Arabidopsis thaliana: one gene and its partners. The protein of the gene in region 1 interacts with the protein of each later gene in a biochemical or structural test. Each region holds a gene or a part of one and is shown in the gene's direction. Other genes may lie near its edges.

Region 1 (7,747 bases):
GTGAATTTTCCGGTAACCATCTTACCCCAAACAAGTTTCTTTCACTAGAAAATCTTAATCAGTGACTCCTCATGCAAGTGGAGATGTTTCTCATCCTCGGTTTCTCGAACATATCTAAGAGTTTTTCGGATTATGTAAGACTCGTAAGAGAATTGTAGAAGAGTAATAAAAATTGGCACTTTTTTTTTTCTCAACCTTTGTTCCTTGGAGATGTGATAGAGCAACTTCCTCTGTTTCTTGATTACTTTGTTTTCATTTCCTAAGCAATCACAAAGGCTTATAGTGTATTAAAAGTGAAAAAAGTAAACGAAAAGTTAGGTTAAGTTACAAATGGTTAGAGATAAACGCCAAGAGGTGATAATCAAATAATCTTAATATCTAGCAAGAAATGTTGTAAAGTGTTTTGGTTGTCCCAGGAGCAAAGGAATAATTTTGGACTAGGATCCAGATTAAATTTTTAGTCTCTGTGGTCCTACTAAATAGAAGTCTTTGAGTTTGCAGTTGATTACTCAAATGGTTTGGGTACCAATATTTGACTCCCCATCATAACTCAGACCTAAACCCCTGTTTGAATGTTTTTTTTTGGTTATTGTCCTTGGGGAACCAAATTTATAGATTTTTCTATTTTGTTGCGCAATGATGATTTACCCTTCACAAATAATACCAAAAACTAGTTCCTGATCACTAACAATATTTTTGTTTCCTGAAAATTGCATTATTAGTCAATGACAGTAAAAAAATTGGAGTTGTTTGTGTGGCAAAGAAAAAAAGAACACTGAAAAATATAAATGATAAATTCAGAAAATCTATTTTTTTTTTTTGAGAATGCTATTGCTAGGGGTGAAAGTTGGTTAAAATTGAAGAGGAGGTAGTTCAGATAGGTTTCAATATACTATTTAAAAGTAATGTTTTCATTTAAATCAAATATAAATGCAATAGTAATTGAGGCAGTTGAGAATTATGAGCGTTACGTAAAATGATAAATACGAATTTAATTCCACCTTCAATAATTTATTTATTTTTGTCAAAAATAAACAAAGAAAATGGTACTACAATTTACCTTTCTTGTTGAGTTATATCTTCTTCTTTTCTTTATTATTATCTTCTTTATCATTCACTAAATGTCACCTTTCTGTTGCAACCTTCATATTTAAGCAAAAATCTCATTCTTCAAAGCCTCATTTTCTGTTTATTAAGAGTCACTATCCATTATATAGTTCTTTTTCTTCCCGGGAAAAATCTAGAAATTTCGGTTTATAGTTTACGTAAATGGGACCAAGAATTAAAATCTTACTAATCGCGATTTATTGGATTTTATATACGAATTCATACAACTTTTGTGGTTGCAAGATGATTTGCGATTGACCAACTTGCACTCTCCTAAAATTTCTTTGTAACTAGATAACCAAACATTTTTTACATAAACCATCTCTCTGACAATTACTATTAAACTAATCTGTTTAAAACAAACATTTTGATGGTTGACACTTATTTTGTTGGAAGGAAGAGACAGGGGAATGTACTTTACTGGAGCTGTGAAAACCGGTTCTTGATTAGAGTGGCTACGTGCTGCGCAACCCATGCCGAGCCAGCCACCGTGCAGCAGAATCCGTGCGTGTGACCTTCCCTCTCGATAGATAAGGAAGTATGCGGAGCTTGCTTTGAAATCTGGACAATGGAGAGATTCTATGAGAGACCTTCCTTCTATCGTTAGGATAATGCATTTTGATTAAGCGAGAAGAAGGGAAACCAAGTAACCTCTTCAAAGAGTTGCAGTGGACCCCAATGATCATCAATGCCAAATAAAAATGCAAGCTTGCTCTGGTTTTCTCTCATGAAATCCCAATCTGGCTCTGCTGCAAGCTTATATGCCAAAAATGAAACAGTGGATCGTCACCTAGAATGCTTTAGTTGGAGATCAACTATAGGGCAAGCTTGGTCATGTTGTAGAGCTTTCAAGTAAACACTTTGCATACTTTGAATTCAAAATGAGACTCTAAACTCTATACAACACATTGTTGAAAGAAGAGTACCTCTCTAAACTCTGACTTTGCCATGAAGAGAACATTGCGCATGGTGTGATACTGCAAGCATCAGATGAAGTTAAGTCGTCTGAATAGTTAGTAGGGAATAAGAACTTAAAGTATCAAGAAAAGAAGATGTAATGGCCATCTTCAAGTCTTTATACAACTAGGTTCAAGTGTAAAACCCAAGAAAATCAGTGAATATGAGATAATCAATACCTGCCTCAAGTGAGTGCAGGTAGCTTGAACAGCAGTATCAGACCATGAAGCTCCAATGGATTTAGATACAAGCAGCCGTGCAGCTGACATAGGTAAAAGTCTCAGCGATGCAATCAGAAAACTTGCTGTAGCCGACAGAACAGAAGACCTGCACAACATGATAACGATTTCACAACATTCTAAATAAAGACTGATTGGTTCTTTCCTATCGAGGATTCGTATTGAGAACAAAAGCTCACGCTGCAAGTTTGCCAATTAATGATTGCTTTGTTGATTGTTGGTTCAAAGTCAAAAATGGATATAGGCCAATGCAATATACCACCTGCAAAGCATTCCAGAGAATAATATAAGAAAAATCACATAGCACTGAAAGAAATTGTGATGGAGAAAGTACTACTCTTAGAGGAAGCCATCTATACCTTGTCCGAGAATTTCTTCAATAACTCAAGGGATATATAAGACCCAATAGAATGCCCAACCTACCAAGATCAATTAAGCTTAGAGTTGTAAATTTTCATGAAAATCTGGAAATCCATCCAACTAATGGACATATATATTTTGGTCATAAGAAGCAATATGTCAATGGCTTATACACATGACAGTCTTACCAATATTATTGGAACTTTCACACTCTCCAACTCCTGTCTGATAAAATCAATCTGTATGATAACTAACAGATTAAGATCTTAACTTCACAGGATGAACAATACAAGAACCTAAAGGCTTTCAAATCCAAGAGCAATGAAGAAAAATGATTTTTATTACCTTATGATCAATTTGTTCTTGAAATGAAAATAGCCTCCCAGACTCCCAGTCCTAAAAGTGAAAATAATCAAGTATCATGAAAGCCTATCAAACTAAGATATTATATGAAGAGAACCATCAAAGTTTACACACAGTAAAACCTGAAACCAAAGTTAACGTACCTTGCTCGTGTGAGATATTTGCCCAATAGCTACACAAATAAAACAAACCACTCCACCATTAGAGATCAGAAGAACAAACTCAAACTCAGAAATAAACAGCTTCCATCTTAAGGACTCAAAGAAATCAAACTCGAAAAGTAGAGCAGCCATACCAATTACAGAAGCATTTCCACCAAGAAACTCGTATAAAGATTCCAAAAAGTCCTTGTAAAATGACACAACTCCTGAAAAATTACAAGCCAATGTATGAAGCACACTAGTATATACACGTGCATGCATAAGAGTCTTGAGCATAATAATGAAACCTGGATTTCCCGGAATAAACAATACATGGAATGTGGGATTCTCAGCTTGAATTTCCATCATCTCCGTCATCGAACTTTGATCACAAATACAAAAAACAAAACAAAAAGTGTAACTATAGTCAAAGAAATTAGAAAATTTCGTAAAAGATTAATGTAACAATACCCAGAAACTCTGCACAATCTGGATTTAACATGTCTTTTAGTTTCATTCATCAATTTGTTTTGAGTCTCCATGTCTCCGGTCACGCGATTCAACTTATATCTTCTCTCAGAACTGTCAACACTTGAAAGGAGAAGATCGAGAGAATTAATGAGACAACAGAGAAACCACTAAAAATCAAAACTTTGCAAAATAAGTGAAGAAGCCTTTTAAAGTAAACCAAGTGAAGAGAGCACAACAATGCACCTGAAACAACAGGAGTAGATTAGATACTTTGGAGAACTGAACCACCGATCGGAGGAAGAAAGTAACGGAGAGACGGAGTTACCCAAGGTAGAAGAAGAAGACGCATATTTGCAGCAATAGTAATACGACCTCGTTTTGAGTAACGCGACGTCGTTTTATGAGTTTGGGTGTCGTCAGGCTTATCTCCACCTCATACTTCCACTACAAAGAGAGGTGATTGACAGATAGATAAGAGTGTTTGGTAGCTCAGACTCAGAGAGTCACAAAGTGTGTGTAGCAGCAATGGCGTCTGTTGCTTCTTCAACTACTCTCATCTCTTCTCCCTCTTCTAGGGTTTTTCCAGCAAAGTCTTCACTTTCCTCTCCATCTGTTTCTTTCCTTCGAACCCTTTCTTCTCCTTCCGCATCTGCTTCTCTCCGCTCCGGATTTGCTCGACGCTCTTCCCTCAGCTCCACTTCTCGTCGGAGCTTTGCTGTCAAAGCCCAGGCCGTAAGTTTATCTAAATGTCGATACTTTTCTTATTCGATGTCATTGAAATCTGAATTCATTAGCCTGTTATAGATTTCACTCTCTTCCTACTTGTTAGCCCTATAGGTTTTGGGGAAATAGTTAACGATTTATAGGTTATGCGACCGTGTTTCTGCAGATTACTCGAAAAGTTCAGAAATTTGAGTGACATTTTCGTTTAGGGTTGTTAATTTCTCTGGTGAAGTGAAATTGAGTGACATATGAGCTATACTCATTGACTGATTAGTATGTTCGGATGAGGTCTATGTAGTTTTGGTATAGTACCATGGTTATCTGATTGTCAATTTGACTGATCTTTCTCCTTAGATTTGATGTGTTAACGAGTTTTAATTTGGTGATTATAGGATGATCTTCCACTGGTTGGAAACAAGGCGCCTGATTTTGAGGCAGAGGCTGTGTTTGATCAAGAGTTCATCAAGGTACTTACAGCAGTTATCAATCACAGTTGCTGCTTCTAGTTAATCTGAGATTAAGTTTAGTTTTGAAGCTGAATGAGTAGTCTTTAGTGTTTTTTATTTAGTGAGTATATGTCTTATTGTGATTGGAAACTAATTGGTAACTGATGAATGTATGGTTTCAGGTTAAGCTCTCTGATTACATTGGAAAGAAGTATGTGATTCTCTTTTTCTACCCATTGGACTTTACTTTCGTCTGCCCAACAGGTTAGCATTGCTCGAGAAGTATATCAAAATTGAATATCCAAGGTTCCCTCATCCTTGAGTCCTAATCTTTCTCATTTTTTCCTTATGTCTTTTAGAGATTACTGCCTTCAGTGACCGGCATTCAGAATTTGAGAAGTTGAACACCGAAGTATTAGGTGTTTCTGTCGATAGTGTGGTAAGTATCACTATACATTTACTATGTTCTCATTTTACTCAGTTCCTCATCCTTGGTTGACATCACCATGTTCTTATCTGTTTGCAAATTTTTGATTCATTCTTATTTCTGTGTGTCCTCGTAGTTCTCTCACCTTGCATGGGTCCAAACAGACAGGAAATCTGGAGGGCTTGGTGATCTGAACTATCCCCTTATTTCAGATGTCACTAAATCAATCTCAAAGTCGTTCGGAGTGCTCATCCATGATCAGGTAATTGTTAGCCTTTAAATCTTGGCTACCTTCCTTTAAACTTTCGAAGTGTTTGGGATAAATGAAAACAAGAACTTTGTTTGTGTAAGAACAGGGAATAGCACTGAGAGGACTTTTCATAATCGACAAGGAAGGAGTGATCCAACATTCCACCATCAACAATCTTGGTATTGGCCGAAGCGTTGATGAGACAATGAGAACCCTCCAGGTAAAGATACAAATAAATACACACAACTCCAAAAACCGCTCTTTCCTTTCACTCGATTTCCGGTATGCTTAATACGTTTTCAATGTTGCAGGCATTACAGTACATCCAGGAAAACCCGGATGAAGTCTGCCCAGCAGGATGGAAGCCGGGTGAGAAGTCAATGAAACCCGACCCAAAACTCAGCAAAGAGTACTTCTCAGCTATTTAGAAACTCTACTATGATAGCAAAAAGGTACAATCTTTGTTATATGTGAGCAGAGTTTTTTTTCTTGTACGCTAAAACAATCCTTTGTTTGATTCTCACTTTGTCCCCAAAATTATAATAAAAAACTTTTTCCGTTAATGGAAGTCTTATTGTGTTACGCCTACAAATTCATATTCAGTTGATCACTTACCTAAGCATGTACACTGTACATATTAATGGTAAAAATCAAGACCATTTTGTGATCTTCTTTGATAGCACAGAGAAGCCATTGTTCTACCATATACGCTAGTCATATTAAAGGACCTGTAAAAAAACCAAAGGACAGAAATTATAAAACTATCATTTCTCTTTCTTTAATGCATCTATATGATAATTATGATCCTTAAAAAGCTGATGCTACCTGTAAAAAAGTTGCTCATGTGTCCCCCTGCCAACAAATTCCAACATCATTAATCATCATCAACCCAACCTCCTCCGTCAACTGATGACCGGTAAACGCCGGTCAACTCTCCTGCTTTAACTACACTACGTCCCGGTCATTATTTTTTCACACTCTCTCTCAAACGATGCATGCCCTCACCAACTCCGGCGCCGTACTTCTCGCCGTGTTACTCTTCTTTCTGCTCATCCTTTTCGCCGAGCTCTCTTACATCTTTTGTTGCCGCACCGGATCTTTACCGTCTCCGGCAAGTAAAGAGGTTCTTTTCCAATTCTTGATGTGTTGCAAGAAGAATCACCACCACTCTCGTATTGAGCCATGCACCGGTATTGTTTCTGTACAGATGGAGGAGGATGTTGTTGCTGCGGCGGTGCCTGAGGAGGAATTCGCGGCGGCGGACAAGTGGCGGGTGTCGAGGCTTCTCTTCACAATTGAAGAAGAGGATTTGGAACTGGAAGATGATGATGATGATGTGATCTCTGCGGAGGTAGATAATGGCTTCGAAGTCCAAGTTGATATTCCGGTGGAGTATTCCGGCGATCCAACTCCGTTCTTGACGCCGTGCAACTCACCTCCTTACTTTACTCCTTCGCCATCTCCTGGTCGGGATATGGATGACGTCATTGATGTATATGAAGTCAGCAGCAGAAACTGTTGTTTCAATTTCCAAGGCTCTCAGATGTGTTAACATTTTTTGCATAATTCCAATGGTTTAACAGATTAGGTGGAACATTTTCGTAATTATTTACAGGTTTTGTCGGAATTATTTGTTCTTGTTTTTGGTTTATATAACTTTGTCGTCATTTTTTCCCCGGCAATTTGAATATTCATCAACACAACTTGGTTCAACGCGTATATATGTTTGGTTCTACGTACATTAGAATAGGACGTAATGTGTTAAAGTCGTGGAGATGACGACGCTATGAAGTATGGAATGGTTCATTGAAACTTTTGTTTGGTTATGTTTTATTTTGTTGTTACCTAAACTAAATGAACCAAATTATTTTGGTTCCCTTGACTTTGATTTCCGTTTAGTTTCAAGTGTGATTAAATTACTAAATGTTTAGGTATTTTTGGGTCTTGTAATTTTATGAGATACATAGTTGGTCTTAGAGACCAAAAAAAAAAATGCACCTTTCAAGAAAAATTTCCAAGAAGACAGCATCATACTACAATACTGAATTGACTGCACATATAAAAATTGACTCGACAGAGAATTAAAGGACATGAGTCAGGCCTCATGGCAAGTAAAAAAAAAAGAAGACCTATTTTTAAAGAATTGAGAAAAAAAAAGTTTACCAAAAGTGAAAGACAGATAATGTTTTTAGCTAGAGTTGTAAGTTTTAAGTTTTGGTAATATCTCAGGATGAGCAACCAGATATAAACCACAAGAACCGAAA
Region 2 (6,900 bases), 3.1 Mb from region 1:
AGAAGGAATAAACTTTGTCCCAAGAGGGTTTTTATCTGAAACTATAAAGCAACGTTACAGAAGAAAGGAATTAAGAGAGAAACAAGTGTAAGAAGTTTTGTAATAGCTAAAGAAGACGACCATGAGAGGTTGTGAGCACCAACAGTATAGATTGCTCCACTTTCTTCATCCTTGACTTGTATTCCTCCTGAGCCTGTGTGATTCAGTATTTCATTACAGTCAAAACACACCTAATACATCAAATCTCATAGAATTTGTGGCAATAAAGACAAAGATAGGATTTGTAATGCTTACAGTTGTGATTGGTCCATCCAATGACTTGGTTTTCGATATCGTAGACAACTAACTTGTTAGAGAGGGCCATGTCTGCGCAGCGAAACAAATCAACACTCAAATTTTTTCAGCAATTTCAGGATGAAAGTCATTTTTAAAAGAGATATATGTACCTCCAAGAATTGTTAATGAAGCTCCTCCTTTAGTCTGCAATCCACCATTTTGCCAGCCAAAACACCATGTGTCTTCCTATAGTCAGTTTTTTATGTCAGAACAAGAAAACAAGAACACGAAGTTAGAAACAGGAACAAGACTTACTCGAACTTGGAATAGATATTCCCGAGGATAAACCGCCAATGAAACAGACTTGTCAAACTGAAAAGTGACAGTTGGGAACCGATCTAATCTGTGAATTTGACAGAAAATTTCAGAGGGTCAAAACATCAAACATTATATACTAGGTGTATAAAATCAGTCATTCCATCAGATTCAGCTAAATCCAACTCCATTTCAATTCCAAAAGCAAAAACTAGTACATTTCCAGCAAATAACAGTACCATTTCAAACATTCTCACTAAACACCAAGAATGACAAAGCGATGAGTTAAATTCTTACTTGTCTGTATAATGGAAACAAGTAAACGACTCTTGAACTGTATGCAAAGTAAGCTCTGGATGTGAAGCCAATATCTGATGGAAACTCAAGGGAAAAAAACATAAGTGTTAAGAACTTTGTAAAATAAGACAGAAAGAATTCACAAGTAACAGAATATAGTACTGACCTCATTCAGTAACGGGTTATAAACAGCATCAGGAAGATACACCAGAGTTGTACCACTATCAATAATAACTCCTTTGTCATCTCCCGAATCAAAAGCATTCGAAGAAAGTTCTAAAACTGAATTACCAACTTCAATTGCATTGAGGTTGACACTATAGTGAGCTCTGTGAAAGAGTTGCAAACAGTGTAAGAAATTCAAAACTTCTTGACAAAGAACCAAAGAAGAAGAGCTTTAAGAGAAAGGCATTCACTTACGATTTAGAGAGCATAGGTGTAGTCTTTACTTTCGGCGACACGACTTCTCCAATGGCGAATATACCACCTCCATTGTTGTTATCCAAACAATGCGCAAAAGACCTTTTGACCTTTCCTTGTGAAGCTAGCTGCGATATAAACGATGAATTTGATTGTCCAAATCCCATTATCCCATCAACCGCAGCTTGTGACTCTCCGAGCTGACCAGACTGTTTAGACCCACATCTGTATAAGAACCACAAATAACAGTGATTCAGAGATTTGCAAGCCACAACAAGCTACAAAATTCATAGAAGAATAAAGCTGTTTTTCCTTAAACTAACCCGAAGATAATAGTTCCGTTGGTGGAACCGGTTTGACGATTTCCAGTAACTAAATCCAAATGAACAACATCTTTCACCAAGTATCCATTAGTTGAACTCCCATCGCCATACATAATAACATACTGACAAGTAGAACCTGAGTGACACTCAGATCTTTGGTTAACGTAAGAGCAAAAGTTGTCACTGCACGAAACAGATTTTGCAGTGGACGAAGCATCCACATCATAAGGTGTCAGCTCTACCTGAAAGATAATGAAACTATGAAACTGAAAACATAATGTAACTTAGAGTTCTGTTTTTTTTTTTGGAGGGATAGAATTGATGGTATATACCAGATCACTTTTCCTAGGACATCTGATGCAACCAGCACAATTCACCCATAAGATATCACTTCCTGTATCAACTTGAACATGGAAGTCTCTTGATGGAGTTCCGAGTCCGATTTTAGCGAAGTATAAACTGAAATTAAAAACAACAAACATAAAGAACAAGAATCAACATTTTACCGTAGAAGACACAAGAAGAAGACCATTTCATAATGAGTCAAGAACCAATCAAAGAGTTGAGAATCTCAATAGATTCAAAAGCTTTGTTTTTTCTTCAGATTCCACATTTAAAAAAGACAAAAAAAATCCGACTTTTTGTTAAAAAATTCCCAAAATTACAGGTTCTGGTAAATGGCGATTCGAACCCAATAGACTCAGGCTGGCTATCGCCGCCGAGAGGAATATCGATGGCGGAGAGGAGTCTTGAGTGACGGTGGACGTCGTGAGCTCTGAGAGCTCCAAGATCTTTTACTCTTTTTCCGGCGAACTTGCTTCGAACTTCAAATACCAAATTCTCCGAAGCCGTCGCCGCCGTCGAGAATTGCGGGTCAATCAGCAACGCCGCCGACAGCAAAATAGCCGACAAGAACCACTGTCTCCGCCTGAGATCCATGACCGGAGATATCCCTAACTAAGTTAGTTGAGAAATCCAAACGAAAAAAATGAAGAGAAGAAAAAAAGCAAAAGAAAGAAAAGTATAGTTTGGCGGTGGAGTACGATTTAGGACAAAGAAGAAGAAGAAGAAAAATTGGTACTTTCCAAATAAAAAAGTATTTTAATCATTAACTAAACAACATTTTGAAATTAATTTAAGACTGGCTAGAAAATTATGTACTATATAATAAGATTCCATGACTACAAAAAAAAAAACTAATTAAATTTCAAGATTGTAATAATTATTTAAAAAGAAAACTGAAATAACTGCTAGAATACACTTTTGGCAGCTGTAAATTATTTTCACTTGTATAATTCATTTTTTCACATGAATATGCATTGTCACATTATTAGGCTCATTTTTAACATTTTTTTACCGTCTAATGTAGATTTTAACAAACAAACAAAAATCGACTCTAGATGATAATGAGTAATGATAAAATCATCAGTTGTCATAAATTGTAGGATTCAAAACTGTTTTTGATCACAAATATGAGAGTTTTCCTTAGATACAAAACTAGTAATCACTGAACTATCATGCATGTTGTTGGTATTTTGTATTTTAGTCTAAAATAGTTAAATTTATGGAAAATAAAAGAATTCATGTTTGTCTCATCATTTTGAGGGACCGAACCGTAATTTCGCAGTAAGAAACATAAATATCAATCTTAATTCCTCAAGAATTCTACACCTCCCGTTCCATCTATCACGAAAACAAATAATTACAGTAAGTACCCCCGAATATCCTTGTTCATCCGAAGCAATTCGAGGATAATACCGTCTTTTTCTCTTTAAAATCCAATTAACATAAAATAAATATTTGCTCAGTCCGTTGAGACCTCACACACACTCTCTCTCTGATCATTCAACTTTTCGAAATTTTGCTTCATCGTCTTCGTCATCGTCTCTCTGTTGAATTCCTCAAACAATGCCTCTTTCTCTCCGTCTTTCTCCTTCGCCGACGGCTTTATCTCCGACTACCGGAGGATTTGGTCCATCGAGGAAACAGTGCCGGATTCCTTACTCCGGCGTCCCGACGACGAAGATTGGTTTCTGTTCTTTGGATTCTAGGAAAAGAGGAGATTCCTCTGTTGTTAGGTGTAGCTTAGAAACCGTTAATGTCAGTGTTGGTCAGGTGACGGAGGTCGATAAGGACACGTTCTGGCCCATCGTTAAAGCCGCCGGTGAAAAGCTTGTCGTACTTGACATGTACACTCAATGGTACCTACTATCTCTTCTATGCCTCTCTCTGCTTTGAAATTTTTACCATTCGACATCTCTGATTGTATATAGCGGAATCGATGAAATCAATGGCGTTGCGATGTCGAATGCTTAGATTACCAATTGATTTGAATTTTGATACTAATCAAAGTTTCCGTGGCTTTCAACTAAGATTGAAAAATCTTCTCAGTTAGATTCTTCTGCAGATGTGGTTCATTTAGATTCCATAGTGAATGTTTTGGTTTTGATGTTGGTAGTCTTTAAAGAGAGTTTCAATTCAAGATGTTCTATTCTTGGATACCTTATGCAGGTGTGGTCCATGTAAAGTGATTGCCCCTAAATACAAAGCTTTATCAGAGAAGTACGACGACGTTGTGTTTCTAAAGCTTGACTGCAATCCAGATAACCGGGTCTGAGTTCTGCTCTTTTATCTCTCTTCTTTTGGTAACTCGGTTTTCCTAAACCATATATCAATTGAACCATAGCTAGTAGCAGCTAAGGATAATCAATACCTGTTTTTGTTGTTGCTACTACTACCTGTCTTTGTTGTTGCTGCTAAGCCATTGAAACTCTTCATTGGTGCAGCCATTGGCAAAAGAGCTAGGAATAAGAGTGGTTCCAACTTTCAAGATTTTGAAGGATAACAAGGTTGTCAAGGAAGTGACCGGTGCAAAATACGATGATCTGGTTGCAGCGATTGAAACAGCGAGGTCTGCTGCTTCCGGATGAACCAGTCTCTCATGTCTTTACCATAATTGTTTGTATGTAATGTGAAATCTGGTGTTATCCCTATATATAGGTGATGAGGAAACGTCAGCAAAAGATTATCTTGTATGTGTAAAAGTTTCAAGAAATATGATCATGAAAATGATTATCTTTAGGTTTCCAGTTGATTCGGTCTGAAGGATTTCTAAGCAATTCGGAACTGAGTTTGGAAGATTCGGTGCAATGTGCACTAGCAAGTTTGTATTTTTAATTGGGGATATAGTTTGAAAGTTATGAATTACAATTGTGAGAACTAGCACAAGTCTTATAGAATTCATTCTTTACATAAAGCATCAACAGTGGGGTTCTTTATGAAACACAAGTGATTGACTTGACAGTAAGCTAGTCAAAAGACGAGATAGAAAAGATGGCAGTAACATATACCATAGTAGACAAGTGTGTTGGATGGGTTCTGCTTGATAACGATGTTTACATAACATGGAACTTAGAATGAAACCTGAATGCCCAACAAAGCCATTAGTTGTGAAACAAACTCCGGGTGTCCAGGCCATGCTGCGCCAGTTACTAGATTCCCGTCAGTGAAGCACCTGTCGATTGGATCTGGTTCTAGCCAAGTTCCTCCTCCAAGTACCACGTTCAGTTTCACGGCTGGATAAGCAGTGCATTTCCTTCCCTGCACCAGCCAGTGAACAGGTCACATAGAATAAATTCCTCAAACAACTTGTAGTGGCAAGAAAAAGGAGGACATAGTTAAATAAAATTAGAGCTACGAAGGAACAGTGCTGACCTTGAGGACACCAGCAGCAGCTAAGATCTGTTGTCCGTGGCAAATAGACGCAACTGGTTTCTCAGAATTCATGAACTCTTTAACTATGTTAAGGACATGTTCGTTCAAGGCCAGATATTCTGGTGCTCTGCCTCCAGGAATGACCAGAGCATCATAACTCGAGGAAACTAGGTCATCAAAGTTAGTAGTTAAAGCAAAAGTGTGGCCTGGTTTCTCACTGTAAGTTTGGTCACCCTCAAAGTCATGGATTGCAGTTGGGCAGCGATCACCAGCCTTCTTCTCTGGACAAACCGCATCAACTTGACATCCCAAAGCTTGAAGGGACTGGAAAGGCACTTTGACTTCATAGTCTTCCATATAATCCTGCAAAGGTCAAAAATTACCAAAAGTGTGATGTTCATATCAGGAGATTCAACGATCTTGATATCTTCTACCAATAAATTTAAAAGTGTGAGGTCATGATATTTGAAGTACAATCTAAAGCAAGATCATAGGCAAAACTACTGAAAACATAAATTCATCAGAATGGTAAGATTGCTTACCCCACAAAGAAACAAGATCCTTTTATTTGCTCCAGTTATTTTACCGCCAAGAGCCTTGACAAAAAGCTGGATAAATTCAGGATGACCCTCATATGTAGCTGCAGTAATCAAACTACCATCAACAACACAGACATCCGGAGTTATCGGTTCGACCCACTTGGCACCTGCAGCAACAAGGGAAGGTCCAACAGTTGCATAAGCTGTACATTTTCGACCATTGACTGTGTCTGCAGCTGCCAATATCAACTGCCCATGGCAAATAGAGGCAATGGGCTTGCCAGATCTTGAGAACTCTTTAACCAGCTCAACAACAGATGCAGTCAAGGCCAGGTATTCTGGAGCACGTCCTCCTGGTATAACCAATCCATCATACTTGCTAAGGTCAACTTCATCAAACGTTGCATTGAGCGTGAAATTGTGACCTCGTGACTCAAAATATGTCTGCAAATTCTCTCAGAAATACATCAGAAAAGTGTGCACAGCTTAAAGAAACTTGTCTACAATACATTCTATCATCCAATTCGAAGCTCAATTGGAATGAACCATTTCTAAATATAGTTACAATGGATCGTATATCAATAGATCAAGCAGCTACACATGGAGATCTAGAGAGGGAGAGAGAAACCTGGTGGCCACAAAAATCGTGAACGGCGGTGGGGCAAGAGTCACCAGCTTTCTTTCCGGGGCAGACGGTGTGGACGGTGATTCCGAAAGCTTGTAAAGCTTGGAACGGAACCATCACCTGAGAGAAGACGCCACACACTAATCAGCTGATATATATATAAGAACAAGGAAGAAATGGTATTAAGAAAAAGAAAAAAAAAAGTTCAGTAGCAGAGGAAGAAGATGACCTCGTAGTCTTCCATGTAGTCACCGCACAAGATTAAGACAGTTCTCGAGTTCGCCATTTTTCAGCAAGAGAGATGAAGATGGAGAGAGCGAGCGAGAGAGAGATAATGACTCTGACCGGAGCTATCTGGTCACGGCGACGTTTAGGGAGCACATGTGTCATG
Region 3 (6,303 bases), on another chromosome or scaffold:
ACCGTCTTTTGATGGATCATAGCCTGGTGGTAGGTATAGTGTTGCAGTAAGTTGAACCCCGTCTTTCCGTTGATACCTGATCATCTCTTTCTGTAACGAAGCCAATTGCGGATACGGATGAGGAAAGTTTGTAATCTGTTGCACTTTCCTATCAGGCCAAAGTTGGAGAGAATATTGGGTGTTTTCTGTTTTAGACTCCTTTGATGTCAGAATTTTCAGCTCCTCCATTTTTAAATCCCCTTCTTTTTGGTCAGACATCAAGGCAACAACTGTCTCGAAATACTTTTCCTTGTCGCTCTCCCAGATTCGTTCTTTGTTGCCTGTATTTCTAGATAAATTTTGTACAGAACATTCAGTTTGTTATCGCTTAATGGCAATAAAAACAAAAAGAGAAGCAAAAGAAAGAGAAATCATTGTCAGGTTGGGCTTACATGTCAAACAAGTCAAGGAAGGGCACATTCCCTTGTGGTGTAGCCCCACTTCCGTTCAGTAATACATAAGTGCCTTCATCATTTTCCTTCTTTATCTTTGCTATTACATACGTTCCAGCATCGGTCCTTCTCAGCATGGTTGAGCCAGGGTCTGAGTACACATCTTCCGATGATCTATCAAACAAGATGCGTGGACTGACATCGTTAGATCCAGGAGAGATAACCCACGTCCTTGTTCGTCGTGTTTTATACCATGATTCATAAACCAGAGCTAATGTATCATCACACCAAGAAATCCCTCTGCAGAATTGAAATCGGATCAATGTTAGGACATAGAAGGCTTTGATGAAGTTAGTCAGTTTGTTGATAAGATGGCATAAGTAATCTACAATATCTGCTGTGTTTTTAGTTGTTACCCATAACGAAGATCGAGCTTGTGTAACACTTCTGGTTCTTCTCCTGCCAATGGTTCAGCAGACTGCATATAAACTATATCACGCGGTGAAACTTCCATTTTGGCATCACCTCCATCTTGTGTTTCTGCCCTACATATCTCAGAAGAGTTGTAAATTAATTACTTCCAAATCCCATTTTGGCACGTGTACTACATGTGATTCACTTTGAATCTCAAATATATACCAGTAGAGGGTTGAAGGCTTGTCTGCTCGCCAGTTTATTGAACGCATTCCTTTCCGCACACTATTGGAGGCAATGGGGATATCTTCAGCCAAGGGCAAGTCACATAGCTGTCTTACAAATCTACCATCAGTTGTCCAGACTTCCACCTTCTTTGGAAATCTACCACAAGGTACAATGAAGGAATATGGCCTGTGAAGTGATGACACCAACAAGTACTTATGGTCTGTCGAAGGGTCTAACGATGTATACACTGCAGGAACCCCTACTTCCTTCACAGTACCATCCAAAGAAGCCAATACTAGTTGTGATGAAGCGTAGTAGTCAAATAAATCAGCATCATACTCATCCTTAAGCAAATCTTGGAATGTTCTAACTTGGACAACAGTCTTCGTCTCGTTTGACAGAGTTTTGGGACCAGATGGCACCAAAGGTTTCTTTGGTGGTTCTCCACGAGATGAAGGGATTGTGCTCACCAACAAAGTGGAATTATCAATCCAAACAAAACTCTCAAAAATCGCATTCAGAAAAATATCTTGCGAGTTAAACAATGGTCTAGCTACTCCAGTCTCAACATCAGCTACCCATACCACTGGCTTACTACTATTTCCGTTCTCATCGACCCGGATGCTGAAAGCCAGATGCTTACCGTCATTGGACCATGTAACAAAGTTAATCTTACCACCATCTGGAATGCCAGTGATCTCCTTCTCAGGACTCAATGTACCATCAGGCAATAACTGATGGATTCCTAAACCAGTATAGAATGACATTCTGCTTCTGGTATTGCAGTATCCATCAATTCGAACACCAGCAAGCTTCTCCTCTGGTCTAGCTAAATCTGCGAGCGGAGGCAATGCTCTCCGCTTGAGAAACAATATCTTATCCCTATGTGGTGAAAATGATAAAGCCGGGACTGGTGGAGCATCTACAATATCTCTGATCTCAGGTGGAGGCAGACGATATCCAGTGCCTATAGCCAATTCTACATAGTTCAACACACAAACAAACAATCAAAAACGATTTCTCAGATTTCAATTCCAGTGACAAGTAACTCTATACACAAAAATATTCAAATCCAAGTTACCATCATCTTCAGTTGCAGTAGCAGAGGCTGATAGGGAGCCATTAGAGGTTCCACCACCGTCTTCAGCACCTCCAGAACAGGCAGATGCGAGAGAACGAAGCCTAGAAGCAGAACGTGAAGCCATGACAGTGGTCAACGGGTTTTCGGAGAATCGGCGAACTCTTACGCAACGTCGTGTACTCAGAGTCGAGAATCCGGAAAGCTTGGGAAGTAGAAGGAGAGAAGAAGCCGGTGACGGAGACGGCGGAGATAAATGGCAGAGAGGTGAAAGAGAGAAACGATGACAAGCTTTATGAAAGCGCATCATCTTTTTTTAATACTTGACTTTTTTAACCTTTTTAAAGTGCTCTGAATGATTCTCTCTTTTTCTATTCGACGGTTCACTAATCAAAACGACGACTGTATCTGTATGTATTTTTAACCAGGAAAACAAAAAATATCAGGAAAAATATCGGTAGTGGTCACTGCTTATGTGGGCCTTATCTATGGCCCAACTAGCGCTTATTTCCTGGAATATGGCCCATTATAAGTCAGTCGTCCTCCCCCTTTTTCTCAACAAAATGAAATACTCAAAAATATAGTAATTATTAATTTATTATGCTACTTTTCATGAGAAGTTTATGTCTATGAAAATTACAGAAGAGAAAATGATAACAAATTTTTATTATTTCAGTCAAAAATTAAAAAAAAAGCTTCTATAATTTTCAAGAAAAAATGTTCAACGGCTGATAAAATAAATATTCCGGGGAAAAACTTATGTTTCTCAAATTGGTAGAATACTACTTTTTGTGAAAAAATCTAAGTACACGTGGCAAAATATGCTTGGTTCTTAGAAGATAAGAGGATTGTGTTCACAGAGTTTAATAACGTGAACGAGTATATTTTATCTTCTTCATCTCTTCACATCAAAAAACTTTTCTCCTCCATCAAAATCCTCCGACGATGACAACCATAGCTGCAGCTGGCCTCAACGTCGCGACTCCACGAGTGGTCGTTCGACCTGTGGCTCGTGTATTAGGTCCGGTCCGGTTGAATTACCCGTGGAAATTCGGTTCGATGAAGCGGATGGTTGTGGTTAAGGCTACATCGGAAGGAGAGATATCGGAGAAGGTGGAGAAGAGTATACAAGAAGCTAAGGAGACATGCGCTGATGATCCGGTGAGCGGGGAGTGTGTAGCGGCTTGGGACGAGGTGGAGGAGCTGAGTGCGGCGGCGAGTCATGCTAGGGACAAGAAGAAAGCTGGTGGCTCCGATCCTTTGGAAGAGTATTGCAATGATAATCCTGAGACTGATGAGTGTCGTACTTATGATAATTAAAAAATATGTTTTTGATGTTCGAATTATGAAACTTTAGGTATGGATCAATGTTTGTTCTTCTTGTCCCTTGTTGTTATGTTTGTGTTTTTGGTTTGGTTGATGATTGTAATGTGATAAATGAATATGAATAGTACAATACACAACATATGTTTCATAATGTGTTTGGTTCGATTACATTTGCAGTTTCGTGAAATTGATAATAAAAAACTCAATTAAGTTTAGATGAGGCTGAGATGATCTTAGGTCACTCGCATACGTTCCTTATTATTTTTTTGTGGATGTGGAGATGTATGTGTCAAAACGACGTTGAGCCGAGAGAAAGATGAATTGATCGAGAGTTTCTTAGACGGTTTTAAAATTGCTGCCTTGCTGGTATGGGAATTAATCTTTGGTTTCAACAAGATGGGTAACAACAAACAAGCCCATGTAATTATGTTGATGCAGTGTAATGGGCTTTATCAAGCATGGGCCGATGTACAAATTTGACATATAGAATAGAACCAGTTTGTGGCCAGCCTCAAGGTGATGAGAAACAGTAAATATATTAAGGAATAAGTGAACTAAATAATTTGACAAAAAAAAAAACACCTGAAATGTATACAATTTTATTGTTTGATAACAAAATTTGTGAAGTTAAGTGAATGAATTCAAAATCGTTTATCTTCTAGCATTAAATTGATTAATCTAAAGTAAATGATACGAGTGTGCTTGTTTGATGCTCTTCTGTGTTATTTTGCAAATTTGAATTCGTTCACTTATATATATTTTTGGCGGTTCAGAAAAGTAGATTTTAACAAGAAAAATGCATCGGCACGGTATCACCAGTTAAAATCTGAAGGTAAAAAGGTTATATATGAATTTGTAAGAAAACAACAAAAATTAAGCCGATCTATTTGTCGGCCCAGCCGCTAAAGAGTCAATTATACCCCTATAATTCTCACGCGGTTTAAGAAAATGCAACAACAAGTAAGGGGTGTATCTGTCTTCTCACACATAAGATTTTTTTTTTTGCTTATTAAAACTCTTACGTATTGTTGTTTCCTATTCTCAAATTTGTATTTTCCAGATTTTCCAGAAAAATCTCACAGCGGTAAGAAAAAAAGAAAAAGAAGAGTCAGTGGTCTTGTTGTTTCGTTCTTCCTTGTTCGCTCGACCTGGCCGATGTCTAACCAGGACCAGGAGACGCGCACACAATTCGCAGAATGTAACGTTGTTGCTACTCTTCTTCTCTCGTTTCTGTGACCTAAGAACCATTCGAATTCGCTGCTCCGTCTCTCTGGTTTCGTCCTTGAAAAATCGTCTACTCGAGATTCCTTTCTCTAGCCACCCATCTCAACTGCTGAGTAGCAAGCTGTATTTTTGTTGACCTAACTAAACCCTAGCTTCTTCGAGGTTTTCTCTTGATTCCCTTGTCTTTTCTAGCTCCCGAATTTGCCAGTTTTACTTGATTTTCATTTTTCATGTGTGATGTGTGTTTTTCTATGTAATTGGATCTTAGGGTTTTTTGATTTGGGAATAACTCTTTGAAATCGCATTTAAGATTGTGTCTCAATGCTTTTTTACGATCCAATTCCTTGAGATGTTTTGTAGATTTCTTTCAGTCGCTTAATTAGGGGAATGATTGGATGATCCTTCCTGTGTAGTAGGAAGAACAGATAAAGTTACATCAGATTCCAATTTTTAAAAGAGAACCCTAGTTTACTATTAAGTATGTGGACGATTCTATTTCATATGAAAGGTCTTGGTGTTATATATGTCATCTGTGTATATTTATCTAAAACTGAGTCAGTATAGTGCATGCTTTAATTGATGAGACTGTCTTTCACTTTGGCAGTGGCATTTTTTTGACGAGTGCTTCTCTTCCTTATCATGGACTGGATACACAAATCTACTCCTTTTATGGAACCTTCGAATTTGGCAAAACTGGTTCAAGGAAATGTTCCTCTTCAGCCACATGACAGCCATTCTTCGCTAACTGATCTAGATATGGACCTTAGAGAAGTCTATTTCCTGATTTTACATTTTCTTTCTATTGGCCCCTGCGAACGAACCTTTGGCCACTTGAGAGACGAAATTTTGGAAAAAGGGCTTTTACCCCGTAGATATCATTCCTGGTGGTCAAGAAGTGGCATTTATAGCGGGCGTGCTGATGATGATGGCATCTCCCTCCCCTTGAGTTATGATAATTTGATAGAGAGGTACTGTTTCTTTTTTTTTTTCCTACTCCACTCTTCCATTGTTGAGTTACTATGGAAGCCTTGCCATAGCTTATTGAAATGTGCTGTTACTTGTCTCTCAACATGTGTCTTGTTATGTCATTACTTTATGTGAGTGTTCCCACCTCCGTAATTGTGCCCAAGTTTTTTTTCTTTTCATAAGTTCTGTCATCATGTTTCGTTTACTTACAGGTATCCTCATATCGAAAAGGATCACTTGGTGAAGCTTCTCAAACAACTAATTTTAAACCCGTCTTTCCCTTCACACATGAGAGTTGAAGGAAATGCTCCTAATGCTGCTGATGTTCCAACACTATTGGGATCTGGCACCTTTTCACTTGTGGATCGTAGTAATTCTTATTCATCTACTTTGTCGTACCTGAATTTCAAAAGCTTTTCCATGAATTGATGTTTGGCAATCAGGATATGTTTTTTCTTTAACTTTTGCATGCAATTCATCTGATTTAATTTCGACCGCACGTTGTTTCTAGAATGGATCGCTCAGCAACATGTTCCTTTGGATCTGGGACTTGAAAAAATCCCATATATGCATAGAACCTGATAGTGGCTCTAAGGCTTTGCATTTTAGAAATTTGTTTTTCTGGCTTTGGCAATC
Region 4 (8,568 bases), on another chromosome or scaffold:
GAAACATCTCATTACTAAATTCCCATCTTATCGTCGTTACTTTTCGAAAACCCTATAATATTTTTGTAACAACACTCATTAATGCCTTTAATTAAGCAAATACACTTAGTAAACTCAAAGAAACACAAATAGTTTAAAATACTGATTGAAACAGTGAAGCATATATACGTACGTAAGTATTGAGCTGGCGAACGAAGCTAGAGAAGTTGCAATGCTTGAAAAGTGTTGGTAACAGATCTCTAGCGAATTCTGCCGGCTGCCACACGACGAAACCAGTTCCGTATTCGTTCCAAGATATAACCCCGTCCGTCGTCGGATCCTCCACCACTTTGTATGTCTTTACCAAGAACGGTGGAGGCGGCTGTAGCTCCGCCGTGGATGTTGAGTTTCCGATCATAAACTCCAATGGCAAACGCTCCTCGTCGTTAACGTTATCGTTACACCGTAAATGTTCACCAGCATCTTCCATATATAAAACGAAAATTATTATTCTTGAAGAAAACAAGTAGTAGAAGATCTCAAACTAGAAAGACGTAACACGACTCCATAGAAAGAGATAGAGACGTTATTTAATTTAATTAGGTGGTTGAGACAATAATAGAAATACTTTAACAAAAGAAAACAATAATAGAAATACTTTGAACAATTTTCAAGGAACGTACGCTTCTAACTATTTACATATTCTATAGAATATGTAACTCTAACACTAACATGCATATAATCATGATGCATACACACACACACGATTGTGTTTGTAAATATATTTTTCTTATATCAAATGAAAATCGATGTTTGATGACAATATGACATGTAATTTTTCAGGTTTGAAACCAACCATCGATAATATTTACGTCGAATCCACTATACGACATAACTCTTTTTTTTCTCAAACACAACGCTCGTCTCTAACATGTATAACTAACGACATTTTGCTTTTAATTTTAGAATGATATTGGATTACTTTACCCCCAAAAAAACTGATATCAACTTAATTTGTATAGTTGATATTTAGTACTGGTCTTAAGTTTTTCAGGGAAACTGCAGTAGTCGTTGCTTTTACCAACCGAGCTATATTGTCAATATAATTTTAGTTGTAACGTGTGTGTTTGATTAGACGTATAGGAAACAAACGAAAAATGATTTTAAAAAAAATATTAATCACGAGGTATATATGTGAATACACATATATTAATGTATGTTGGTAAAATTGGATATTGTGATATGAAGCAACTCGTTTGGACCCCCTTTAGGTGAGGTGGTACTATCAATTTACGAAACGCAAATCATGCATATTATTCATCATGTCTACCTATATTTGTAAGATTTAGTTTTCTCTAATGATTAATCAAGTACTATCATTAGTAAAATCTCTCGAATATATAATATGGATTGCAAAAATATCACATTAATTACCAATCTTTTTTTCTCTATAAAGTACCAGTTAAAATACCACATAGCAGAAGTTATATTCTTAAACAGATCGTTTTCTAAATTTCATGTTAAATTATATTCAAAGTACAAATCTTTTGTAATGGTATTTTTAAAAATGATTATAAACTTGATATTTCATATAGTTAGTTTTGTTGTTTTGTAGGATCATGTAAATTGCTCGTTTTTCAAAATTGATGACTATCTATCTTTTTGACTATACATGCTTTGTCTAATTGTATGTTACTTTCGACACCTTAATTTGTTGATAATATATAAACAAGTGCTTAAAAGAGTATATATAGAAAAAGTAAGGGGGTTCAGTTGATCTGAATGGAAAGTTAAAAAAGTGATCATTCATCACGGTCGAATTTGATCATATATATAAGTTTATGGTAACGTATAACGGTAAAAGCCAGTAAATTTATAGAAGGAATTCCAAATTAAATAATTCTTTAAAATTTCAGTTGAATAAAAGTTCCCAAAGTTAAAATCTTTTTTTTTTTCCAAGACATAATCAAGTAACTTAAGTAAATGTCGGTTTTAGCACAATAATGCAAGAAAGGAAACCTTTAGATCTCTATTGGTCAAAGTAGGGGACAGTGATGTAATTCAAGTCATCGATCTACTGACTACTGGTGTTTGAAGGGGATTACCGACAATGTTCCTATGACGGCGCGTACCTTCCACGCGTCTGTAAAAGAGAGAGACAACTAATAATACAAATCCTAACGCTTAAGCTCTACTATATCGTTTTAACAGTAGTGATCCATATATATGTCCTGTTGAAATTATTTGTTGAACAATAAGATTAAGGGATCACAAAACTACTCCAGCATATACTACTTGGATATGTAGCTCTTGTAAGGCTTAATTTAGATGGTAAGATATAAACATCGAATTTAAGAATAGTCATCAAGAACAGCTTAGGAAACTTCAAATGGCAGATCGAATTTGGATGACAAGTAAGAACACGGTGGGGGGGTTTTTTTTTAACCATAAAGTTATGCTTAACGTTTAGTGATGTGGCTTCCTAACGAATCTATACAACATCAAGTCATCAAATGTAAGTACATTTTGTTGACTAAAACATTGGAAGTGCATGGAATTCAGACACTAGACTAAAGATAAAGATCCTTGCTTTCATTGGGCTGCTCTTTTTTGGTCAGCTTAACTTTTTGACTTAAGAAAAAATAGTCTGTCACCTTCCCTCACCAACTCCTAGTTCATTTCATTTCCACTTCAACCTCTTCAGAACTAAGTAAACTATATAGTCTTCGCATTTAGCTAGTTATGCTTTATAAATTATTAGTACTAACTTTTTGGCGAAGCAATCCGCACACAGATTAGCCCATTTTCCGGTGGGTTTAAGAATCTTCGTCGTGACTAAATATTCAGTACCAAAACAGGCCCATTTATGGCCCAATATAAAAAGCGTCGTCCGTCCACTTAAACTCTTGGCGATCTTTCCCACTTAAAAAAAAAGCGATTGGCTTATCCCTCCGTTGAAAAGACGAAGTAAAATCAGTCAAAACACATCTCCACCGTTCAGTCGCTTCATCACATATATCCAACGGCTGAAAATCATCTAAGCCTGTGGACTTGGAAGCAAAGAGATAATGCTGAGGCGCGTGAGGCACAGTCGCCAACAGAAAATCGGGATGTTTTTTTTTAACTGCAAAGCCAAAGAGACAATTGTATGGTCTCTGGTAAAGGTAAGGCAATCAAAAAAAATATGGCTGCGTCTCCCAAGATAGGCATCGGTATTGCCTCCGTCTCATCGCCTCACCGTGTCTCCGCCGCCTCATCCGCTCTTTCTCCTCCTCCTCATCTCTTCTTTCTCACTACTACTACTACCACACGTCACGGCGGCTCCTATCTCCTCCGTCAACCAACCCGAACTCGCTCTTCTGATTCCCTCCGCCTCAGAGTCTCCGCCACCGCCAATTCTCCGTCTTCTTCTTCTTCAGGAGGTACTTGAGGAGTTCCTCTTTGCTTCTTTCTTAAGGTTTTTGGCAGTGTAAGTAATCGAGCTCTGTGTTGGTTTTTTAATAATTAATTGCAGGCGAGATTATCGAGAATGTAGTGATTATAGGCTCCGGTCCCGCCGGTTATACGGCGGCGATATATGCAGCGCGCGCCAATTTGAAGCCGGTGGTTTTTGAAGGGTATCAGATGGGCGGAGTTCCCGGTGGACAGTTGATGACAACTACTGAAGTTGAGAATTTTCCGGGATTCCCAGACGGTATCACGGGTCCCGATTTAATGGAGAAGTGAGCTATAACATAGTCTGATTCTTTTGTTAGTTTGTGGCGTTTCTTATATGTTTCTGATGCAATTATTTATTGTGTGAAAATTGTAGAATGAGAAAGCAAGCAGAGAGGTGGGGAGCAGAGTTGTATCCAGAAGATGTTGAATCTCTTAGTGTCACAACTGCTCCTTTTACTGTGCAAACTAGTGAACGTAAGGTGATTATCTTTCTTTGTTTTCTCACTATTTCTTTTTCAAATTCTAAATAGTTTTTTTTTTTTGGCTTCAGCTCTCTTCTGATGTTTCCATTTTTTATAGGTCAAGTGCCATAGTATTATATATGCCACTGGCGCTACAGCAAGGAGGTTAAGGTTACCTCGAGAGGAAGAATTCTGGAGTAGGGGGATAAGTGCTTGTGCTATCTGTGATGGAGCTTCGCCTTTATTTAAGGGGCAAGTACTTGCCGTGGTTGGAGGAGGAGATACGGCTACAGAGGAAGCCTTGTATCTCACGAAATATGCCCGTCATGTTCATTTGCTTGTTCGCAGAGATCAGTTGAGAGCTTCCAAGGCTATGCAAGATAGGTGAGTTCTTATATTCATCACGTCTGCCTTATATTCTACTCCTCTTCTTTGATTTCTGAAGATAAACAGTTAAAACTAGATAAATGCTATGTCCAAACTAGGAAATGTGTTTTGTCATAGCTATGTTGAGCGTTCTTTGTTGCATGTATTGACTGCTATCCCCTGTTCCCTCGCAAATCCATTGGATATATCTGGGAAAGCCTTTGGTTATGATTTCCGTTGCATGTAAATTTATAACCAACCAGTAGAGTGCTTTTTTTTTTTGCTGGCTATCGGAATTATAGACTAATGAGCACAACGTAAGTTGAGTCTTTTCAACACCCTGAGTGTTTTTTTAACAGGTTGGTTATGGCGAATGTTTCAGAGTGATCAACAATCCAAACATCACAGTGCATTACAACACGGAAACCGTGGACGTATTGAGCAACACCAAGGGACAGATGTCTGGCATTCTACTCAGAAGACTTGATACGGGTGAAGAAACTGAGCTGGAGGCAAAAGGATTGTTTTATGGAATAGGGCATTCGCCAAACAGTCAGTTATTGGAAGGCCAAGTCGAACTCGACAGCTCCGGGTACGTCTTGGTTCGGGAAGGAACATCAAATACATCAGTTGAAGGTGTATTTGCTGCAGGAGATGTGCAGGTATTCTTCGGAACTTTTAGCAATTTTTCGGTGTTGGTATTAACTCTTTTAAGTCATATTGGTTCGATAATTGTGTTTGCTATATTCTCCTATTTGTCACTCTAGGACCACGAATGGAGACAAGCTGTAACTGCTGCTGGATCAGGATGCATAGCTGCTTTGTCAGCCGAGAGATACCTCACAAGTAACAATCTTCTTGTTGAATTTCACCAGGTAGGAAATATTCAGAAATATCTTATCTCTTAAGCACACGTCACAAGGCTTACTCTCTTTCATGTTCACGTTACAGCCTCAAACTGAAGAGGCCAAGAAAGAATTCACACAACGGGATGTCCAAGAAAAGTTTGACATCACTCTTACAAAGCACAAGGGACAGGTTTGTTAACATATGAACCTTAACTTGTTACCTACAAGCATTTTCTCTGCCTCACATCTTTCTCCTTATGTTTTTTCCCCTGCTTTCAGTATGCTCTTAGAAAACTATACCATGAGAGTCCAAGAGTTATATTGGTACTATACACTTCACCAACATGTGGCCCCTGTAGGACTCTGAAGCCTATTTTGAACAAGGTATTCCTTTATTAGTCGAAATGAAACTCATCGGAAGAGATCTTTTTGGACTGATTTACTTGACCATTTGTTCACTTCTCCTTCATTTTGTTTCAGGTGGTCGATGAGTATAACCATGATGTGCATTTTGTTGAGATTGACATCGAGGAAGATCAAGAAATTGCTGAAGCAGCTGGAATTATGGGAACCCCATGTGTGCAGTTCTTCAAGAACAAGGAAATGCTCAGGTTAGGAAACGTTCTCTCAGTTTTAAAATTGCATAGATTATTGTGTTCAGGTTTGGCTAAAGATTCCGAGTCTGTGTAGGACTATATCGGGTGTGAAGATGAAGAAAGAGTACCGAGAATTCATTGAGGCCAATAAATGAGGACACCAGATAGATATTGTTTCTGGCAGATGCCAAATCTTATCATGATTCAATTTTGTTCATTCAAATACTTTGGAGTTACTGGAGCAACGCCATTGAATCTCAAATGTAAACAAATAGAATCATCATCTTAAGCTGCACGCATAATGTGGTACAATTTGCTTTAAGATTTTACAAAACAACTACCCGTTTTGAATTGGGGTGGTCAGTTTCAGTTTCAGGGACATCGTCAAGGATAAAGGGACCAAGTCTACCTGTCCTAAACAAAGTAAGAAATTTCTTGGAGACCATTAACCTTGCTTCGGATGCTTTGTGAGGAATCTTCAATGCCTTTTGTAGAACTTCAAACTGTTGCTCTATCAAACATTCTAAATCATTCTCATCCTCCGTGTCCCCATCAAATTCTGAGAGTGTTATATACAGTGATCGTTGCACTTCTGAAATCATATCCTGTAGATGACAGGGAACCTTTCATTGGTCAGGACAATTTCAGAAGGAAAGCAAGGTAGAGATATAAGGTTATTATGCTAACCCCGACATAGTGCAGAGCAGATGAATCTGGTTGTTTGGTTCTCTGGTGTCGAAGATCCTTTAAGTTATAGCTTGGCTTATCGATGCAGTCTGCATGAGGCCCTTCGTTTATTCCCTCAACTAAGTACTTCCAATGAAGAGGAGTCCCTCGAATGTTTAGAATAGCTAGAAAGTATTGTGCAATCCGCTCTTCACCCACTACTGAATCTTTAACGGACCCTTAGAATGTCAAACGCATAACAATTAGCTAGAGAGATCATATGCTGTAAGAAATACGGCCCTATATTAGAGAAAAACTAAGAACTGAGATTATAAGACCTAAACTGTATCATCATTTGATGAACTAAATCTAGTGTACGGGTTTACACGATCTAGCACCAAGAAGAAAGAAGAGAAAGGAGATAAAGATATAGATAAGAACCTGAAAGAGCAAGCTTCAAACCGGTTTCGATATCAGGGATACTTGGAACCAACACACCAGGGGAGTCTAGAACATATATACTAGGTCGATGAGCAATCTGTACCACAGAACATTTTCATCATGTGTTCAAAAATCATGCTGAAGCAAATCCACAAACAATTAACAGGCATACGGAAAAAAGAGGATTTTCAAATAAAGATTACCTTGAAACCAGCAATATCTTGTGTTACACCAGGCAATGGACCAACCGTAGCTCTCTTTAATCTCTCCTGCACTATGCACATAATGCATACAATAACGAAATAAGCCACGTTACATTTCATTCATCATTCTGTTCATGAAATAATTAACTTGTAAGTTTAAGTTTGGAGAAATCGGATTCACAGTCCGGACTATATCTGTGAAATGTGTACTCAACACTGCTGATAAGCTGAGACACCAATATCTTACCCGGAAAACGAGCTGCTGCAATTTGATGGATCGAGTTAATGAGCGCAGATTTTCCAACATTGGGGACACCAACCACCATTACAAGTAAAGTAGGCTCCCTAGCAATCACTTCTTTGAGCTTCAACTCCACGAGATCAAGCAGCTACATACGAAAAATTATGCAAAGAAGGTAACTTTTCAATGCGCAGTAGTAGAAAATCCTCATCAAATTATATGTGTGAAGAAACTATAACTGGTTTTAACACACCAACCTAAATGTAAAGAGGATCATCTAACCTTCATGACAGAGCTTCTGCTATGAGCATTAATGGCAATACAATCTTGCTTGCTGGATTCGAAATGACGAGTCCATTTCTATAAATTGCATAAAAATTCAGAAACTCAACCTCACAGAGACTAACAAGAGGTTAAAGAAAGACAAAGGTTCACACAAAAAAACGAATTACATTGAGAACATTAGGGTTTGCTAAATCTTTCTTATTCAGAGCAATGATACGTCTCTTAGCTGACATTTGGGATTGTAGATCTTCGTTCGCCGATGACAGAGGAATCTGCAAAAATACCCAAAAACAAAGACAACGACAATTCAGATTATTCCTTCCACGATGATAAAGGGATCGAATATAAAGAGAGATAGTGTGAGTGAGTGTTTACAGACACGAGCATCGCGAACTTCGATAACGAGATCGGAGAGCTTGAGGCGGTTACGAATGGCGCGAGTAGCTGCAGCCATATGACCGGGAAACCAATTGATTTTTCCGGCGTCTTTAGCGAAGCTCATTCCGCCGATTAAACCTTTCTTCACTGTCTTCTTCAACATCATCACCATTTTCTCCGGCAACAACAGCGAAAGAAGGGTTTTCTAAGGTTTTACAGCTCGTCACGCAAAATAAATCCAAATTTGGTTATAGGATTTGGGCTTAAGATGGGCTTCATATGATTAAATTTTGGGCTTATTACAATTTTTTACATAGAGATACGTTTGTGTAACAAAAAAAAAAAACAGTTTGGACGACCAATTTTTGTAGGAGATAGATGGGTCTCTGGGACACTCTGCTTGCTCGTTGTTATCGTAAAGGTTGTAGTAGCTGGTTGGCTCAATGGTTTGCACATTCCTAGCTTATCTCATAGTTGTTTTATTTATTAGTTCAACTTTCAACTAACTAATTAGCATTTTAATTTTACCTTTTTAAAACTCATTACCCTTATAAACTTTTGTAATTAACTATGTTCCATTTTGGTAAAATAAAATTACATTTTATCCCAAACAAAAATTTAGCTTCCGATAACATTTTAGTTGGATTTGTTTTTAACACTACACGT

Evidence for each region.
Region 2: the proteins of AT3G11630 (region 1) and TRXF1 form a complex in vitro, tested with the Arabidopsis thaliana proteins (one study listed by BioGRID).
Region 3: the proteins of AT3G11630 (region 1) and CP12-1 form a complex in vitro, tested with the Arabidopsis thaliana proteins (one study listed by BioGRID).
Region 4: the proteins of AT3G11630 (region 1) and NTRC form a complex in vitro, tested with the Arabidopsis thaliana proteins (2 studies listed by BioGRID).

The regions. Positions count from the first base shown.
Region 1 is NC_003074.8:3,668,027-3,675,773, forward strand, and holds AT3G11630 (Thioredoxin superfamily protein), read left to right. Parts: upstream 1-4,009; 5' UTR 4,010-4,162; coding exon 4,163-4,369; intron 4,370-4,752; coding exon 4,753-4,827; intron 4,828-4,988; coding exon 4,989-5,070; intron 5,071-5,165; coding exon 5,166-5,245; intron 5,246-5,369; coding exon 5,370-5,495; intron 5,496-5,589; coding exon 5,590-5,703; intron 5,704-5,794; coding exon 5,795-5,911; 3' UTR 5,912-6,133; downstream 6,134-7,747. Other genes in the region: AT3G11620 (alpha/beta-Hydrolases superfamily protein), read right to left, coding at 1,525-1,668, 1,759-1,863, 2,034-2,084, 2,244-2,391, 2,483-2,565, 2,663-2,722, 2,852-2,902, 3,009-3,059 and 4 more; AT3G11640 (uncharacterized protein), read left to right, coding at 6,475-7,035. UniProt on the Arabidopsis thaliana protein: Thiol-specific peroxidase that catalyzes the reduction of hydrogen peroxide and organic hydroperoxides to water and alcohols, respectively. Plays a role in cell protection against oxidative stress by detoxifying peroxides.
Region 2 is NC_003074.8:586,231-593,130, reverse strand, and holds TRXF1 (thioredoxin F-type 1), read left to right. Parts: upstream 1-3,437; 5' UTR 3,438-3,539; coding exon 3,540-3,832; intron 3,833-4,142; coding exon 4,143-4,242; intron 4,243-4,417; coding exon 4,418-4,561; 3' UTR 4,562-4,865; downstream 4,866-6,900. Other genes in the region: AT3G02740 (Eukaryotic aspartyl protease family protein), read right to left, coding at 42-193, 295-366, 447-522, 592-679, 889-962, 1,055-1,217, 1,309-1,533, 1,632-1,873 and 2 more; DJ1D (Class I glutamine amidotransferase-like superfamily protein), read right to left, coding at 5,043-5,231, 5,346-5,708, 5,888-6,328, 6,513-6,629, 6,739-6,795.
Region 3 is NC_003071.7:19,443,793-19,450,095, forward strand, and holds CP12-1 (CP12 domain-containing protein 1), read left to right. Parts: upstream 1-2,937; 5' UTR 2,938-3,096; coding exon 3,097-3,471; 3' UTR 3,472-3,850; downstream 3,851-6,303. Other genes in the region: AT2G47390 (Prolyl oligopeptidase family protein), read right to left, coding at 1-328, 432-731, 848-976, 1,071-2,052, 2,155-2,461; AT2G47410 (WD40 domain-containing protein), read left to right, coding at 5,341-5,669, 5,880-6,037. UniProt on the Arabidopsis thaliana protein: Acts as a linker essential in the assembly of a core complex of PRK/GAPDH. Coordinates the reversible inactivation of chloroplast enzymes GAPDH and PRK during darkness in photosynthetic tissues.
Region 4 is NC_003071.7:17,373,624-17,382,191, reverse strand, and holds NTRC (NADPH-dependent thioredoxin reductase C), read left to right. Parts: upstream 1-3,132; 5' UTR 3,133-3,163; coding exon 3,164-3,401; intron 3,402-3,493; coding exon 3,494-3,701; intron 3,702-3,790; coding exon 3,791-3,896; intron 3,897-3,996; coding exon 3,997-4,262; intron 4,263-4,626; coding exon 4,627-4,906; intron 4,907-5,011; coding exon 5,012-5,119; intron 5,120-5,195; coding exon 5,196-5,282; intron 5,283-5,371; coding exon 5,372-5,476; intron 5,477-5,572; coding exon 5,573-5,703; intron 5,704-5,782; coding exon 5,783-5,843; 3' UTR 5,844-6,014; downstream 6,015-8,568. Other genes in the region: HSFB3 (heat shock transcription factor B3), read right to left, coding at 1-52, 173-469; AT2G41670 (P-loop containing nucleoside triphosphate hydrolases superfamily protein), read right to left, coding at 6,015-6,293, 6,376-6,593, 6,796-6,892, 6,999-7,069, 7,246-7,387, 7,522-7,599, 7,692-7,796, 7,904-8,074. UniProt on the Arabidopsis thaliana protein: Thioredoxin reductase (TR) that exhibits both TR and thioredoxin (Trx) activities. Contains a C-terminal functional Trx domain.